Caenorhabditis elegans: one gene and its partners. The protein of the gene in region 3 purifies or fractionates together with the protein of the main gene of each other region. This does not show direct contact. Each region holds a gene or a part of one and is shown on either strand. Other genes may lie near its edges. The genes, in order: F52E4.5, Y37F4.1, nhr-189 and clec-80.

Region 1 (3,775 bases), on a different chromosome or scaffold from region 3:
AAAATCGGAGATTATAATAAAACCAACCAGAAAATTTTAGATTTTTTTAATGTTTTAGCAATCTGCCAAATAACAAAAAAGAGCTTTTGAGGAAACACAGAGCAATATTGCATGTTCTAACCCCTAAAATGTTTTACAACAAATAATTAAATCAAATTTAAAGTATAAAAATCGTAGAACTTTTTTTTTGGTCGACTTCCAAAGTTATGAGTGCAAAAACTGAGCGATTGCACGTGGTGTCAGGTTGTCCCATAACAGTTTGATCTACAAAAAATGCGGGAATTTTTTCCCCGAAAAATGTGACGTCAGCTCATTCTTAACCATGCGAGACCAGTTGAGAAGTCTGCGTCTAAATTCCCGCAGTTTTGGTAGATCACAACGAAATGGGACATTCTGACACCACGTGCGATTGTCACTTTTCGACAGTAAATGAAAACTTTAAAAAAATTTTGAAAACTTTTACTATGATATTCAAATATTTTGACACTATAGCGAAAAACCAACATAAGCCAAAGTTTTGTCTTTAGAACAAAACATTGAATTTAATTTCAGAGGAATTAGAAATTGGGATTCTCGTTCCAGATCCTTACTGCCTGGTTTCCAATTATGGTAATTGCGTATTTAGTCTAAATTGATTGAGCTTTAAAAAAACACTGTTTGACATAAATTTGTGTCTCAAAATCTATAAAACCTGCAATCTGTATATTCTTGAAAATGAATTTTTTTTTTCGAAAATTCAGAAGTCCGCAGCTTTGAAAATATCAGAGGATATCCATTTTGGTCACTGCCGAAATAAAGATTAGCTATGATTTAACAATGTGCTCGAATGTTTTATTTTCAGTACAATAACATAATTTATGCTGTATAACTGATGTTTTTTGGTAGCCTACAAGACATCAAACTGTTTAATTTTCAGATTTACCACTTTTAAAGTAGGTACTTCTACTTTTGATCAAAACTTCTTTGTATTTACAGTACACAGACAAAAGCAAATACCAAATTCCCCGTAAATGTTCGCAGCAAATACTACTGCTATTGACCAAATACGTCAAGTTCCATTTTGATTCACTTTCACCCTTCTTTGCAGTATTATGAATAAAGTTTTTTTTTGGACAATCGTGTTGTTGTTCACTGTGAGAATTACATAACAATATTTTCCGACAGTGTTCATTCTTTCCATGGAAATTTCATGAAGAATATTTGATTTCGCAATATTGTTTATTCTCCCAATTTTCCCACAATGAGTCACTGGCCACCTGGCAAACAACACGTATAAAACTGGACTTCCCCAATAGAAATACACCGCTCTCTAAGCCATTTTTGCCTCTCACCTTGCGCATTTATCGATTTTTGGATGTGTTTTCTTTTGAGTTGTTGAGAATATATTATTGAAACCTCACATAAAATATTATATGTCCAATTATGTTCTATAAATTTTTCATTTTATTCGGCAAAGAGTCGTTTCGTAATGTTTTGCGAATATGTTTTGCAACCAGTTTTCTAGAAATCTTCTAAGGACTTCTATGTCTAAATGTCTTTTTGAACCGTCAATTCTATAGAAGAACGAATTGAGTTCAACCTTTGGCCGTTTGCCCAGAACATCTTCCTTTTTCTCTTTTTACTTCCTGGTTTCCGACTTCACCTGCCGCGTTTATAAACTTTCTTCCGTTTTTGTTATATTCAGATGTTTGTACTAATTCTTTTTGATTTAAAATGTATGTTTTCAGTTGATCATGTCTGAGAAAATTGCTGAAGGTTTTGGAAACAACGGAGAGCTATGCGAATATCACTATTCGTTCGTTCAAGACGGAAAGTTGACTTTGGTGGGGCGCAAATGTGAGCATTTATATACATTTTTTTTCAAATTTAGAACAATTTTCTTGTTTAGACGTCGCTCAACCAAATCACAACTGGGGACATCGCGTGGCTTTTGCAGGAACTTACGTTCTGACTTTTGATAAGGAATCCAACAAATGGGAGAGACATGATGTGAGTTTGCCTTGTTTTCCTGGTCATTTCAGACCTAAACAATTTCAGTTCCCGGAGCTCGTAAGCGAAGAAAACTCGGAAGAAGTGTTGTTTGTTCGTGACAATCAGCTTTATCTTCTCGCTTTTGTCAATTTTGGAGCAATTGGATTCCAAAAGTTGTTCAGATGGGATAGTAATTCTTTCAATGAGGTTTTGTTAAATGTGAGTGATTCTGTGATTAGAATTTTGTTTCAAAATTAATTTAAAGTATTACTTCTGTAAGTTTTTTTTTTAGTTTAAAATTCGATATGGTACATATAAACCTAAAGTGTACGTATAGACCCATAGACTGTCAGCATATGAACAAGCTTTGGAAATTGACTTTTTTTCGAACCATCATCCTTTATTAGATATACACCACAATGTTTTTTCAGGCCCCAGAAACCAAAACCCTCACTGAGACTCAAAGATTTGAAGTTATCGCTGCTGCTGGAACTTCTTCAAATGGTGAAACTATTCTTCTTCTCAAAGACGACAATTGTCACATTCAAATCTATTCTCTCACTGTCAATGGAGCTTCTTCTACTGTCGAAAACATCTCGCAAATTCACTCTGATGACAACCATTTGGTAACGAAGATTGTTCAAGAATTTTATAATATTAAAAATTGTTTTCAGAGAGGATCTCCAGTAATTGCTGAGACTGTCAATGACAAAGTGCTCATTAGCTACGCTGTTCATGGATGTGGATTCAATTGGGAGAAAACTCGTTTCTTCGTTTTTGACTTGAAATCAAAAACAGCTCGTCATGTTGATATTGAAGGAGAGTACAGTTCTCTTCCCCAATACGGTTTCGTTGGTCCAAACTGCTCATTTGTTGACAAGAAGACCAATTCTTTCATTGTCGCTGGTGGCCGTGTTCAAAAAGGAATGACGGGAAGCGCTTTCTACGGAGCCGTTTGGGCTCTCAAAGGAAACATTTTTGACGATAAGTCTACTTTGGAGTGGGTCCAACTTCCTCAAACTGTCGAAGAGGGAGAGCATATTTTTGACGGTTCAACTCTTTACACTGTTAACAAAGCTGCAGTATCAAAAGTTCAACTTGATTCGATCTAAATTGTTTAATGTTTTAATGTATTTAAAATTATATTTTAACCTACTGTGATTTATGGGAATCTCTGAAATAATTTCTGCCAGTAATAAAATTGAAATAATTGGATTGGGAGTAAGTTTTATGTTTGACAATTGAATAAATATTCAGTACAGTTATTCTAATATTTATTTGGAATTGTAGTTTTGTCGGCTTTTACCTAAAATATCGATATTTAATACTGTATCATGCGCAGTAAACTTTATTCCATTTATTAGTTTGAGAAAGAATTCAAACTTGAATTGCCCCAAATATTCAAATATCCGAAGCTCTAAACTCCACGAGTTTATAGAATTACAAACATTTGGACAATTGGCGTTTTCGGCAGTCAGCAACTTTGATAATTGCTAAAATTACCACAGCAGTTAGGCAGTAGTTCAAAATATGCCCTCAAAAAAAAATTATAAATTCATAATTGGAACTCGAAATTTCTGAAATAAAACTTTTTCTGTTCTATTTGCAAAATTGTGTATCAACGGAATATATGTTCAACTAGTTTTTTCACATTGGTCTGAAAATCAAAATTTGTAAAAATGCAGTAATAATATGTATACATTATTTATTTAAACAAAATACAAAATCTGCGGCAATTTGTAAAACTCTTCGCAGGACTACGAATCTCTTCTGTGGCCCTCCCCAGTTAAAGAATGCCTGATCG
Region 2 (4,887 bases), on a different chromosome or scaffold from region 3:
CATCACAGAGATAATCGACCGAATAGAAAAATAATGCCTTTTTTGATTTTTGATTTTTCAACTTTGAGCGTTTGTTAATTGGTTTGTTTAAGTTTAATTTTAATTCTGTTTTTTTTAATAGACTCAGAATTTGACGCTGAATTCAAATATGTAAGATTTTTTTCCAGCTTTAAAAATGAAAAAGTTATGAAAAAAAACTAACATTTCATCTCCTCATCAAAGTTTTCGAAATATCTTTTATGTTTTTACATTTTCTTTTTAAAATTGAAAAATCTTTTCAGCATATTTCTTTCATCTTAGAGAAACTGAAAATTCAGCGCCCAGGGCGCTAAATAATTATTCAAAATTTTTAAATTAGAAACAACTCCTTAGCATATTCCATCAATCTTAGAAATAGTTCAAATCAGCGACGAAGGCGCTGAATAAGTCTTCAAAGTTTTAAATTAGAAACAACTCCTTAGTATGTTTCTTTATTTCAGAAACTTTGAAAAATTCAGCGCCGAAGGCGCTGATAACTCTTAGGAATTTTTGAATTTAGAACAACTCCTTAGAATATTTTTCTAATCTTAGAGAAGATTCAACTTAGCGCCCAAATAATTTTTAAGAATATTTCAATGTGAAACAACTCCTTAGAATATTTCTTTAATCTTAGAGGAACTGAAAACTAAAGCGCCGGAGCCGCTAAATGATTTTTCAAAATATTAAATTAGAAACAAATCTTTGGAATATATTTTGAATTTCAAGGTGAACACACTTAACCCCAACACAGGTTTGAGGCAAAGCCGAGAACCTGCGCCAGCTACCTTGTTGATACTTTAGAGCGAAATAACCCTATCCCCACTCCCGAAGGGATAGCGCACTTTGTGCGCTAGTCTTAAAAATTTTTTTTTTAATTGAAGGTTTACAAACAAATTTGAACTTTTAAAAAGCTTTGCTATGTAGGAAAAAGGATACTCAATTCAAGAAATGGTATGTAGAAAAATCGATTTAAAAAAAGTTTTTTGATTTTTGATTTTTAATTTTAAAAGTTTAGTCCCAATAATTCAATAAAGTTTTTCCAGAAATAGAGCAAATTCGAAAAATAGCTGAGCTAATGGGCAATCCAACGGAACCGGACGAAGTTTCGGATGAAAAAGACGATAGTTCTGAATCAGACTACTAGTTGCTGAAAAAATAATTTATAAGTTTATTTTAGTCACATTGTTGATAGTTATAAATATTTTTTTGAAATAAAAAAAACCAAAAATGTGTTTTTTGCACTGAAAATGTTGCGTTGGCTCAGTTGCAGGGTAAACCCATCAATTCATAACTTCAGCAAGAAGTCCAAATTGTGTTAAGTTCGAGATCCCTTTAGAAAGCAATCTTGCACTTATTTTACTTTTTCTTAAATCTACAGTTCAAATTATTAAACAAAAATATCTGAAATCAAGAAAAGTTTATCTTCACGGATGCTGAAAGTTTATAGACTTGTGGAAGTGTTCTATGATCACTTCTCATGTTGCACTGAGTGGACTTTGGAGACGTGCATAAAGCGCATGACTCTAACGCCCACGCGGCCTCTGAGCAGGGAGCGTCACGCCCTCACGAGTATATAAGCCGACTAGAGAATAACATCCTCAGTCGAGAAAGACCTTGCCTGCTGGCGCCGGACGAAAGTAAGACTCTCGTCGTCTGGCACAGCAACGACTCAATAAATGCTTTAGCACACAATCAAAGTGTTTTTGCATGATGTTTAACCATAAGCTGTGGCACCGGTTTATGACCGTTAACAGACTCCTCCAGTATATAAGGTTGTCCAAACAACTTAATTTTTCATATTTTGTGCAACACTATCTTGCTGAAATGAAAGAAACCGGCCCGTGTTGTTACATTCTGCTCATTTTAATTTTTCCGCCAATCGCCGTCTACGTGAAAGAGGAAAGATGCTCTCTGTCAGTTTGGCTCAACCTTTGTTTCTGCATCCTCTGCTGGTTTCCGGGGGTGCTTCATGCTATAGTCGTCTGTTTCTGCTTGAATTATTTATTTTATTTACTTACTATCAAGAAATGAATTCTTGAGATTAATTTATTTAGAAGAATATAATACTGAATTACAATTAAAGAGAAGAAAAGGGGAAGATAGCGGTCTACATCTAGAAAGGAAGCATTGGTATTATATAATATAATATAAAAGAAGGAACTTATATAGGTCTGTTTTTAATCGAATTATAATGATATTGGGGTTGGCGTGAATCATATGAATAGGAAAAGAAGGGAAACGTTTTGGTTTGAATCATAAGGATCAAATATCATATTCAAAGAGGGAAAGATTTGACACTTACATACAATTAGATTAATTTTTCCATGTACAGATTATCTCAGACCACAGGATATGTAGTTGCTGACTAACATTTCACTGCTAATGTGTAAGCGGCCACTGATTGAATATTGTGGGAGAATTAAAATTTGGACTCTGAATGAAATTGCTTCATAATAAAGCAAAAAGTTATCCAAATTTCTATATTTATCATGTTTTTGGATACTGTAGTTAAAAGGTATAAACGCTTTATATTATATTTTAGTTTTCAAAATACATATATAGGGAAAGCCTCATGCAAATTTGTCTAGAAAAATGATTTGAAATTGTTCAAGAAGTATGAAAATGTTAAAAAGCGTACAGTTAAACAAATTTAAGATTTTGGAATTTGTCAATCAGTAGGTTTATATTAATCTTAAAAATGATAAAATCTGCAAACCCGGATTTTAAAATAATATAATAAAAAAATAATAAAAATTTTAAATAATATAATACATAAAACTATAGAACAATTTCCAGAGAACTGTTTAGATTTTTTGTTGAATAGAAAGTTTCCACAGAAAATTTCAAAAACCGCCTTTGGAGCAATTTAACTGGTAAAACACGGAGCTAATAGTAAGCAAAAATTTCAAATTTTTTCACAAAATTTCAATCACAAATATTTTCTAAAAAATGTTAAAAATAAAACAAAAAATTACTAATTTAAATTGCTTTGTTACGTGACACATTTTATGATGACAAACATACTTGTTTATCAGACATGAAATCTCAATCTCAGTTATTTTATATTTTTAATGGCAAACAAGAAGAGTACGAGTAGCTGCTATGAAAAGCCAATCGCTCAGAAATTATTTTATGGATTAGCTGTAAGTTTTTGGATGCCTCCGAAACCGAAATCCGAAACCGAAAAAAAAAGAGAGTTTTCAGGACCATCCAAATCACGGTGTATTTTCGTCGATTCTGAAGAAAAAGAATCGCTTGTTTTCGATGACTGATGACGTGAAGAAGCTTTGCAATCAAGTTGAAGCTTATAAAGAAGCCGCAGATCGACTTCATCAGGCACTGATTCAAATGTTCGTTGAGAATCAGGAACTTATGAAAGCTGATACGAATTATCAGTACGCTGGGCAGTATCTAAAGACGTATCAGGCGATAAATCAGAAAGGAAGAAAGTTGGGTACGAAGGTTGACCCCAAAGAAATGGATGTGAGTTTAGTTGCAGAATTGATCAGAAAAGTGACGCGACATTCAGTTTCTAGAGCGAATCCTGTTGAAAATCGAGGAAGTTGGAACGACTTTTTTGCACCTAAGAAATTTGGTATATTTTCTAGGCTTGGATTTTTAGGCTTAACAATTTAGGCTAAGGGCTTTTAAATGTTAAAATGTAGGCTTAGGCTTTTCAAATAAACCATTTAAGCCCAGGTAATCAGGCTTAGGCTCCCCAATTTTTTGGCTTATGGAATGGCACCTGATAATAAGGACACAAATTTCAGAGCTTAGAACCGGCTATCCAAACCTTGCTCAATCTGGATTCCATACAAGCAAAGCAAGTCCAAAGGCATCTGGAAAACTTGTCGGCGTTGACAAAATTCATTGGCGTCGACTATTGGGAGTACGCAAGGCTTCGAAAGAGTAAGAATAAAAGGGTCTATAATATGAATCTAAATAAAAAATTTCAGTTTATTGGCTCTCGCTGGAAACCTACGACGACGCAATCAGTCAGCAGAATAAGGAGCGAACGGAGCAAGCCGAACTCGCGGCGGGAAATGCTCAGACATGGAGGAATGAGTGCAGACAGAAGGTTATTGACTTTATCAATAAGTCGATTAATGAGCAGAAGGGGAAACACGCGGATGCAGTTTTGAAGTAAGTTTTGGAACTACTCCCCGAAAAAAAAAAATTTTAAGGTTTCGTGACGATTCAATTCTCTTCCACAAATCCATTGCTGAAGCTATCCCAATATTTGATGATAGAGCACTGCCAAAGAGTAAAGAAAAGCCATTGAAATCCAAATGAAACTTGTCCGAATAAAGAATTATGTGATTTTTATTGCTTGCAACTTCAAATGTGTTATATTTGATTTTAGTCATCAGTTTACAGCCACATCAGCCACAAGGCACCCCTGATTCCACCAAAAGGTGCGCGGCGATTGCCGACGGGTAATTCTACAATTTCAGGCAGAGATGTGTTTTCCCAATATTTTTCATTAAATTTTAGTGAAAAGATGTAGAAACTATGTGATCTCTCCCATAATAACGCAATTGCCGCGCAACCCGGATTCTATCCCTCTCCATCGCCTCAACATTCGCCCGCTATTTCACTTTTTTCGAATGGCATTTTGGAAACGTTTTTTGAATAGCTAAGGTTGCTATGGGGTGGCTCATCACGTCCCACACAACACCCCTAGCTTTAACAATAAATTTACGCTGAAAACAGAACAGAAATGAATCACATTTTATTCTCTCAAGTGCTATAGTCTACTTCAGTGCTTCAACCTTCTCGACATTATTTCTCCTTTTTTCCATCTTTCTTCTTATCCAATTTGTTTGACTTGCAAGCGACTGGTTCCTGCAGAGTTTCTCGAATTTCAGC
Region 3 (4,099 bases):
TAAGCTCATTTTCTCAAGCTCTCATTTTCTGGGTCTCTCATTTATAATTTAGGAAATGAGGAGAAAAGCAGCTGCACAATAATGTTCAAGGAATATGACGTAAGTGCAAAAGATCAAATTATGAAAGCTGGGAGCTTGATATTAAAAGCTGACCGAGGTTTTAATATCAAGCACTTTTGGCAGTTTGGTTTAAAATATTTTTCCTTTTGGAAAATGACCAAAAAATATGCGGAAAATATTTTGTGAAAGGCTAGCCACAGTTTTACCATGCATATAAAAAAGGTTGAATATTTTCAAGGTTTGTTAAAATTATATAATTTTTTTTAAATCTTCTGATACCCATTTGTTCGATAGAGCAGATTTGCAGTATTGCTGTTGTGATGATCAATGCCGGCAATTGATGATTTATGAAATTATCGGCAATTTGGCATTTGGCAAAATTTTAGATTGCTTCAATTTTCAGCAGTTTTCAAACTTAATTATATATTTTTTAATTAAAAAAAAACTATAAAAAACGGATTTTTACAAAAATTTTACAACTTAAGAAACACCTTTATACATTAATACAAATATCAATCAACAATTTTTTCAATTTAACTTGTGGCATGTACATCTGGCAAAGTGTTGTGAGACTGTTAGCGTCTTCCGATGTCTTATTGATAACATGTGATAGTGACAGAAGGTCCGCAAATCTAGAAGGACCCGATTGTTGGTAGGTTAAAAGGCAATATTGAAGAAGGGCAGAACTATATGACTTCTGGCGGGTTGCTAGGAGTCTTCGAGTTCTTTCAGATAACGGGTGGATGGCTGAAAATTGCTTTTTTCAAAAATTAACTTATGAATTGGGTTAAATTGAAAAATTAAATTACCTGGATTACAAAACAGCAAAAAATTTAGCAAAGCGTGCTCCTGCTCGGTAACTTTGAGCTCTTCAACGCGAACCACTAAACTGCTCCGTATGCTGTTTAGAAAATCAATAGAGAACATTGCCAACCTGGGAAAAAAATATAGTTTTTTATTCCAGAAAATTGCAACTTACAGCAAATCCGAGTAAACTTCATTACCATCAGGCGTTATCACTCTATCAACTTTGGCATTCAGAGACCTCATCGCACTATCAAGTTGCATAGATTTTGAAGAGAAATTTCGAAGTAGAACAATCTATAAATTGCGTTCCGTTTTATTGAGATGACTGTCGATGTAATTTTGAAATTTCCGGCAAATCGGCAAACCAGTAGATTGCCGGAATTGAAAATTTCAGGCAAATCGGCAAATTGCCGGGATTAAAAATTTCCGGTAAATCGGTAAAACGGCAATAAGCCAAGTTTTCGAATGTGCCGAAAAAACGGCCATTGGCGAACATTTTTGGCAAACTGTGGTTTTGTACCTTTTTTTTGGAAGGTTCAGAATTTCAAATTCAATCGGCAAAGTTTTACGCATTCTATGAATGTTCCTACATCTATTTTGAAAAGCAAGCAAATTCTATGAAAATATCAAAAGAAAACGGAAAAGCAATTTCAAAAAGGCACAATTTTGACCCCTGGTGCATTTACCGTACCGCTCACCCCTGGTGCATTTACCGTACTCCTACAGTAAGAAACCTAATCGAGAAAGACCAACCTTATCATCATTCTCAATAGAATTCATAAAATCCAAACTCAAAAACATTTCAACGGCAATATAAATAGCTTGAAAACTCCATTCCTCTACTGATATCACTTGTTTTCCAGTTTTTCGCTTCATCCTTGATCGCTTAGTTCTTTGAACCATATCTTCCAGTGTTGGATCCTCAGAAGTGTAGAAATTGCACAATTTGAAGCGTTTTGTGGAGTTTAAAAACATAACATTTTTAATTAGAGAATCCGATTTAAAATCGGGATGGATCAAGTCAGGAAGTTGTATCTTCTCGAGTTGACCTAGCGTCATCCCAAGTTGCAAGCATTTTTCGAAGCGGCACGCTTTGCATTGAAGAATTGGCTGACCGGCTGTAAATAAATTTATTGAAAACTGTGTGCAAATAAAAATAGCTACAATTTTCAAGGCACATGTTCCATTTCTTGCAGTGGTAGGTTAACTGCTCAATCACAACGCGGCGGAAGAACATTTTGCACGCATTGCACGAGAGAACCTGAAATTTATATGTTGTTTAAAAAGCTTTTAGACAAAACAAATATAGTAAAAACATATTTACCCCATAGTTATGACAGGATGCATCTCTCCCACAAATTGTGCATTTCGGAGCATTACTGGTACTCAATTCCATAGCCAAGCTTGGCAACTCATCAATATCTTCCATTTTGAATAAGGAAATCAGTGAGCAAAATGAAAAAAAGAATAAAGCAGGATTTGCTCTTTTTAACAGGCTTTGACTTCCTCGGTCTCTTTTTATATAATTAAAGAGTCGTGGGGAGACAGCTGAACTAGAATGTTCTAAGAACATGTTTATAGATAGGACATAAGATCAAACAACGAAAAAAGTGATCGTACATAGATTTATAGATTTCTGAAAATAATAATTTTTAGTCACGGCTATTTTGAGGGTGTCAATAAGCTCCGGCTCAAAATACACACATTTTTCCGTAACATTTTGGATTGACAAATGTTTGAAAATTTTTGTAAGTGATATTTAATTTAAAAGAAGTGTTATATATGTAACACTTTGGAATTTCTTTAATTTTTAAATTAATTTTAAATTTTTTTTTCAAAAGTTGCAAATTGGTGGCAAATTAATTTGAGAGAAGCTGTTTTTGCACATAAAAAATGAAATTTTTGAGTGCAGGTGAACATTTTGGAAACTTATTTGGAAAATTTCATTGGAAAATTAAAAAAATAATGAGAAAGAACCGAATCTTTTATTTTTGGATCTAGTTTGGTAAAAATTTCACTTTTTTTCCAAAAAATACAACGGTGGAATAGGTTTATGTGCATCTAGAATAATGAAAAAAAATTCAGATCTATTTTTCGGATCATTAGGCCAGTTTTTGCTAGAATATTTTTGAATAACCATCTGTTAAATACCAATTTTTTCAACGTTCAAAAAAAATTTTATTAATTTTTTAGAAATTATGTTTGAAGCTCAGAAACTCACATTTAATAATGATTTTTATGAGAAAGAGTGGAAAAAATTACAAGCAATATTTTGAGATCAGAAAAAACATTAAAGTTCAACGGTAAAAAAAATTTAAATTATAACAGAAACCAGATTTTTGTACTTGACATGAAAATGAAATTGAAAAATCCAGTAGAGATATTGTACGTCTTCATAATACTTGTTGGTAACTGTGCACAGTGAGAGAAGTTCCGTGAAACGAGACGATCCATTATGCTGATAGGAGAGCTTACAATATTGCATGAGCGCGGAGCCATAGGCTTTTTGTTGCTCTGTGAGCACGGCTACTGCGCTTTCGGAGAGGTCGTCGAGAGCTGGAAATTTTTTGAAATTATCAACAAAAAAAACGGATTTTTGAACTAAATATTACCAGGATTACAAAAGAACAATACTGTAATCAAAATAAACTCCTCATTAGTGATGTTCAGCTCGATAAGCCTGTTAACTAGCAGGCTTCTGATACGGTTTGTGTAGTGGAGTGAGAAGTCGGACCATCTGAAGAATGATATTTTAATTTTTTTAATTTTAAAATTAATAAGTGAAAACTCACTGGGACAAAAATTCCACGAAAAAATCTTTTCCATCGGGCTTTATCATTTTATCGTTTTTGGCTCGCATAGTTCGAATTGCACTGAACAACAGGGTAGCCTTGGCAGAATAGTTGGCGAGGAGAAGAGACTGAAAAAATAGTAAGTTGAAAAGTCTCTACAGCTTTTTTTTTTGAAAAGTGCTCCCAAAGTAAACCTCTAATCGTGTAATCCTACAGTAATACTTCTGCAGTTCTAAAATATTAATATTCCGTACAATAATTTCAAAGAAATGCCCCAATGCTCTCGAGTTAGTCCACAGTATCCCTTCAGTACTCATACCGTAATTCCAAAATATCAAAAATCACCTTATCTCTAGTGCTCAGCTTCTTCATAAAACCGAGTCCAAGCAAAAACTTCACAGCAGTATATGCTCCAAAGAAGCACCAATCCGAACTTGTCA
Region 4 (5,023 bases), on a different chromosome or scaffold from region 3:
CATAGTTCGGCCATCAGTTGATTTTTACAAAACCATAAGTTCCATTACATTTCAAAGTACTGTTTGGCTCTCAATTTGCACGTAGCTAGTGCGATGAGGAATTTTCCTCTGACTGCCCTAACTAAACTCTATCGTGGTTTTTAACCCGCTTTTTCGAGCTTCTTATCAATTCCTCTTTCTTTTTTTCTTTTCTCGTAATATTACCATCCCTTCCAGCAATTTTGAAAATGAAACAATTTCTACTAATTTTACTATTTTTTACTTCTTTAGCTGCTGCCCAACAGTGTTGGGATAGTTCAGATAGACTGATCAACGGGAGGTTAGTATTTTAACGGAAAATTGTAAAATAAGCTGTTAAGTTCTATAATTGAGAAATAAATTGTTTAAATATATGCAATGCAAAAATTAACTTAAAATAAATGTTTCAAGCTCGAGATACGAAAATATTTTTTTTAATTCCAAAAAGTTGAAAATCTGATAACTATTGTGTTTTTTCAAGTGTACTTTGAGAGTAGTAGGCACAAAAATTGTGAGTAGGCGCGTAGGTAGGCAGGCAGGCCGTGCCTACTTGGATGGCACACCGTATGTTTCGTGTATTTTCAGATGCTATAAACTTGTCAACCAACAACTTTCCTACCAGGACGCCCGGTCCTGGTGTCGTTACCAGAATTCCGTGGTATCATATTTGGCAACTGTTTCGGATCAAATAACGGCGAGCTTTTTGGCATGTAAGGTTTTTGAGAGTTAATGAGTGGTTATAGGTAGGCATGAAGTAGGTGTCAAGGTAGGCGCGTGAGGTGGGTACAAAGGTATGCAGGCATGAGGTAGGTAGATGTGATGTAATCGGGTGCGGTGGGTTTGTAGGTATTTAGGCATGATGTAGGTTTGAAAATACACCATTAGGCTAAAAATAGACACGTAGTTTTGCTTACATGAGGTAGGCATAAAGTATCCAGGCATGATCTAGGCACAAAATAGGTACATAGGGGGGATGCAGGCCTGAGATAAATAGGCGTGATGTAGTCAAGTGCTGTTGGTTAGGAGGTATCCTGATGTTGTCACGAAAGTACACTAATAGGCACGTAGGTTTGCATACATAAGGTAGGCATAATATACATGAGCAGGCATGATGTAGGCATAAAGTAGGTACAAAGACAGACAAGCATATGGTAGGTAGGCATAAAGTAGGTATGTGAAATTGGTGTAGAGCTGACGCATAGGTAGACCTGAGTCATGAAGTAGGTACGTAGGTATGCAGATATAAAGTAGGTAGGCAGAATGTAGGCATGAGATAGGCATCAAGTAAACCGGTAGGTAGGCTCGTAGGTAAGGCCATAGGTAGACTACAAATCCAATTTTCAGCGTACGCCGTCACCGCATTTGGCTCAAACGAGGGAAGCTTCTGGATTGGTCTAAGCCGCTCAAGTTCCACATACAAATGGGATGACGGAACTCCCCTAGGCTGGACCAATTTCAATTATCAAAATTCTCAAGACTACGTGGCCGAAAGTGTGACGAATGCCAAATGGACCGCCTACAACAGTGAAACAGAACTGAAATTCGTGTGCTCCTACTATCCACTGATGCCAACCACTAACTTGGCGTCGTCTACAGATGCACCGCGTACTACAGAGGCATCTACTTATTGGACTTCCGAGACACTGACATCGTCGAGCACTTAAAGTCTACGGCCAACACCCATATTTTCCAAATTTCAAATTTTCTTATCAATGCTTCCTGTTACTTATCACCCAATATTATTACTTTTTCTGAAAAATTTTTCAGTTTTATTTTGTCATGAAAAATCTCATTTTACTTACCTTTTCCTCATTTTTCGCTATTTCTCATTGTCAGGCACAAAAGTGCAGTGATGATTCGGACAATTTAATTAACGGAAGGTAATCTAAATTTCAAAATTTTCAACAGAAAAAAAAAATCAATAATCAGATGCTACAAACTGGTGACTCAACAGCTCACCTACTCGGATGCTCGTGGCTTTTGCCACCAGGCGGACCCGGGGTACACTCTGGCTACGGTATTGGATAAGTCGACGGCTAATGTTTTGTCAGGTAGGGTAGAGAGGGTTTAGGGGCCTGCCTGCCTACCTACCTGCCTATTGCCTATGTGTCTTCATTTTGGCCCGATGCACGACTTCAACAAAAAAAAAAATTAGTTTTGTGTACAAATTTTGTAATTTTGAATTTCACGCCAAAATTTAATTTCAATTTTTTTAAACTTTAAACTTTGAACTAGGACTCCCAGCTGAGTAGGACGTGAAATGCGGGTGCAATGATGTACGAAAGGTAGTTATTTGGAGCGGCCGACATGTTCGGGGTTCCGCGCCGCACTATACATTCGACAACATGCGGCGTGGGATCATAGAAGCCCTTCTTTGTACCACAGTTTTTATTTTCCAGAAGTTTTCGAAATTTTACAATTCTAAAAAGTTTTAAAAACTTTCCAAATTCGCGTCAAGTGTTCACAAAATTCTATGAAAAATTTTGAATCTTGCGCCAGAATTCAGACAAATTTGAAATTTACCTTGTTTAAGCATGAAAAAGTTTATTGGTTTTTTCGAATCGCTTCAACATTAAAAAAACAATTTAAAAAAAAAACCAAAAATGCCTCTATTTTTTGGTTTTTTTAGTTGGAAAGCTACGCGAAAAAAAAATATTCAAAATTTTCGAACAAGTTTCCTTAAAATTCAAAAAAAAAACGTTAAACTCCAAAATTTCCAGTCCTCGCCCATTCCGTGTTCAACTCCAGCAACGGTGGGCAATTCTGGATTGGTTTGAGCAGAAATTCCACCGGGAGCCCATGGACATGGGATGACAAAAGTTCCTTCGGCTGGTCAAATTTCGGAACTCAACTAGGCCAAAACTATGTGGCACAGAGCAGTACGAACTCCAAATGGGGCACATTTGGTAGTACTGATAAGAATTATTTCGTTTGCAGTTATGACCCAGCTAGTGTGCCTACCACTGCGAAACCTTGTGGGTTTAATACTTGGAAACACTGTCAGAAAATATTTGAAATATTACCTACTTACAGTATCTTCTGTAACATGTCTAATTATGTATGACACACAGTCTCTCGGAATTGATCAAAATGCAATTAATTCTTATAAAGCGGTACGAAATCTTTTAGCGTTGTATTTAAACATTGGTGGTTCATATCTTAAGCGTATTTAAAATAGGGAACAAATATCAACCAACAAAAGTATTTGTTGTCGATTTTTCTATATTTTGATGATCAAAATATTTTGTAGCTTAAAAATAAGATATGATATGAGCTGTCAAAGTTGATAGGTTGATGCACCATGTGTAGAAACTAGTAACTAGGCTCTTCAATAACTTTTAACTAACATTCATAGCTATTCGTTTTGCTATGTCCTAATAGTAGAAACTTTGCTATAGCTCAAAAATAAACAACGATAGGCACCGGTGTGAAATCTAGTGTTTTCAATTTCGGGCCTTTTTTATCTCGATTCTTGTGAAATGTATCAAATAATTGTTACCAACCCAACAAATTATTGATCATTTGTTGTTATTTTTATTTTTAGAATTTGACATTTTTCGCTAGCATTAAAATTACACAAAACATGAGCCACAGAAGTTGAGCGGTCGATGCAGAATGTTAGAAGTCTAGTGTGCTCAGGCTCAAAGTCTGATGCCTCCAAATTTATTGAAAAAGTATCATCAACTGATAAAATATTTATGAGTTATTATTCTATCATTTAATAGTAAAATGCGATATTAGCTGTCAAAGTCGAAAGGTCGATGCACCAAGCTAAAAATCTAATGGGTTCAACTATGTAGTTACTAAAGTAAAACAATACATCAGAGATTTACTAACTTTTCAGTACTTCAACTTTGCCCATCTTGTCGCTAGCAAACTGAATGACAAGACAATGCTAACCGGCTACATTGACAATTACGGGTACTCTGCTGGGCTTAATGATCATCAAAACTACCCTACTGATGATTTTTTTGATTTAAGAGGAATTCCGTTCCCAATTGACGGCACTGACGATGATATCGATTTAGATCTGAAAGAGTTAGTGGGGATTATTGTCCTTAAAAGTAACAATCGTTTGAAATTCAGTGTCGACGGATCTCTAGCAGCCGCTTCTTGGACCCCACCAGTCACAGATCAAACATGCATGATATTTATATCAGCTGCGTGAGTTTTCGTGAAATTGGACTGACAACCAAATACTTATAAGCTCTCATTTTCCAGCCCAGAAGCCGAATACGGTGGTACCACAATCAAATCCACCTACTCCTCCTTTGGTACAGTAGTCGGAGTACTGGTTGGTGGAGCCACTTCAATTCCTGGGCTCTCAATTGACACAAATGTGATTGCTGCTCCAGCGTTGTCGGATTCGGACGCCGATGCTGTTGTGAGCAAGCTCCTGGAGCTGTTACCTACAGCTTAACTATTTTTTCCAAATTTACTTGGTGTACCGAGAAAATAAAGATCCTTCTGTCCAATTGAACATGTGCCAAATTGCGTATATTAATATATCAAAAGATATCAATCACAGTTGTGTTCTAATACACAGAAATAACTTGAAATTTGAAATATTCCCGATAAAACAAATTAATAAAAAAGGCCACATTTTTTGGTAAAAAAATCAATTTGAAGTTTAAAAAAAAAAAATCTTCGTAAAAATATGTCATTACCAGAAAACTTGCCATTTTAGATACCAATTGCAATTTTGTTCTAATACACAGAAATAACTTGAAATTTGAAATATTCCTGTTTTTTTCAATATGCAACTAATCATTAAAAATTTTGAAATTATTTTTGGTTGCTCATATTTGTGCAGACAAAAAGTGTCCTAGCAATAAAAATTGCAAATTTTTTGTATTTTCAGATGAGTGTACAACCGTTTCTGTAGCTACGATATTCATTTCAAAAAACCCGAAAGTTGTAAAATAATGAGTAAAGTAAAATAATTGGTGAAGCCAGAGAGTAAAATAATTGGTGAAGCCAGAGAGTAAAATAATTGGTGAAGCCA

Evidence for each region.
Region 1: the proteins of nhr-189 (region 3) and F52E4.5 fractionate together in Caenorhabditis elegans (co-fractionation; one large-scale study listed by BioGRID). This does not show direct contact.
Region 2: the proteins of nhr-189 (region 3) and Y37F4.1 fractionate together in Caenorhabditis elegans (co-fractionation; one large-scale study listed by BioGRID). This does not show direct contact.
Region 4: the proteins of nhr-189 (region 3) and clec-80 fractionate together in Caenorhabditis elegans (co-fractionation; one large-scale study listed by BioGRID). This does not show direct contact.

What each region holds. Positions count from the first base shown.
Region 1 is NC_003284.9:3,085,290-3,089,064, reverse strand, and holds F52E4.5 (Fucose-specific lectin), read left to right. Parts: upstream 1-1,719; 5' UTR 1,720-1,733; coding exon 1,734-1,836; intron 1,837-1,888; coding exon 1,889-1,989; intron 1,990-2,037; coding exon 2,038-2,190; intron 2,191-2,402; coding exon 2,403-2,597; intron 2,598-2,645; coding exon 2,646-3,083; 3' UTR 3,084-3,237; downstream 3,238-3,775. Other genes in the region: twk-16 (Potassium channel domain-containing protein), read right to left, coding at 3,729-3,775.
Region 2 is NC_003279.8:10,856,459-10,861,345, forward strand, and holds Y37F4.1 (BAR domain-containing protein), read left to right. Parts: upstream 1-1,628; 5' UTR 1,629-2,187; intron 2,188-2,350; 5' UTR 2,351-2,533; intron 2,534-3,053; 5' UTR 3,054-3,089; coding exon 3,090-3,161; intron 3,162-3,222; coding exon 3,223-3,501; intron 3,502-3,788; coding exon 3,789-3,927; intron 3,928-3,974; coding exon 3,975-4,161; intron 4,162-4,202; coding exon 4,203-4,311; 3' UTR 4,312-4,340; downstream 4,341-4,887. Other genes in the region: Y37F4.2 (Sec-independent protein translocase protein TatA), read left to right, coding at 1,062-1,162; Y37F4.5 (START domain-containing protein), read right to left, coding at 4,801-4,887.
Region 3 is NC_003283.11:3,857,908-3,862,006, forward strand, and holds nhr-189 (Nuclear Hormone Receptor family), read right to left. Parts: upstream 2,337-4,099; 5' UTR 2,297-2,336; coding exon 2,192-2,296; intron 2,129-2,191; coding exon 2,032-2,128; intron 1,986-2,031; coding exon 1,621-1,985; intron 1,162-1,620; coding exon 1,040-1,161; intron 995-1,039; coding exon 870-994; intron 808-869; coding exon 554-807; 3' UTR 528-553; downstream 1-527. Other genes in the region: nhr-187 (Nuclear Hormone Receptor family), read right to left, coding at 3,182-3,423, 3,480-3,604, 3,660-3,787, 4,005-4,099.
Region 4 is NC_003282.8:2,823,579-2,828,601, forward strand, and holds clec-80 (C-type lectin domain-containing protein), read left to right. Parts: upstream 1-1,785; 5' UTR 1,786-1,797; coding exon 1,798-1,898; intron 1,899-1,947; coding exon 1,948-2,069; intron 2,070-2,738; coding exon 2,739-2,993; intron 2,994-3,051; coding exon 3,052-3,131; intron 3,132-3,862; coding exon 3,863-4,056; intron 4,057-4,104; coding exon 4,105-4,182; intron 4,183-4,239; coding exon 4,240-4,438; 3' UTR 4,439-4,491; downstream 4,492-5,023.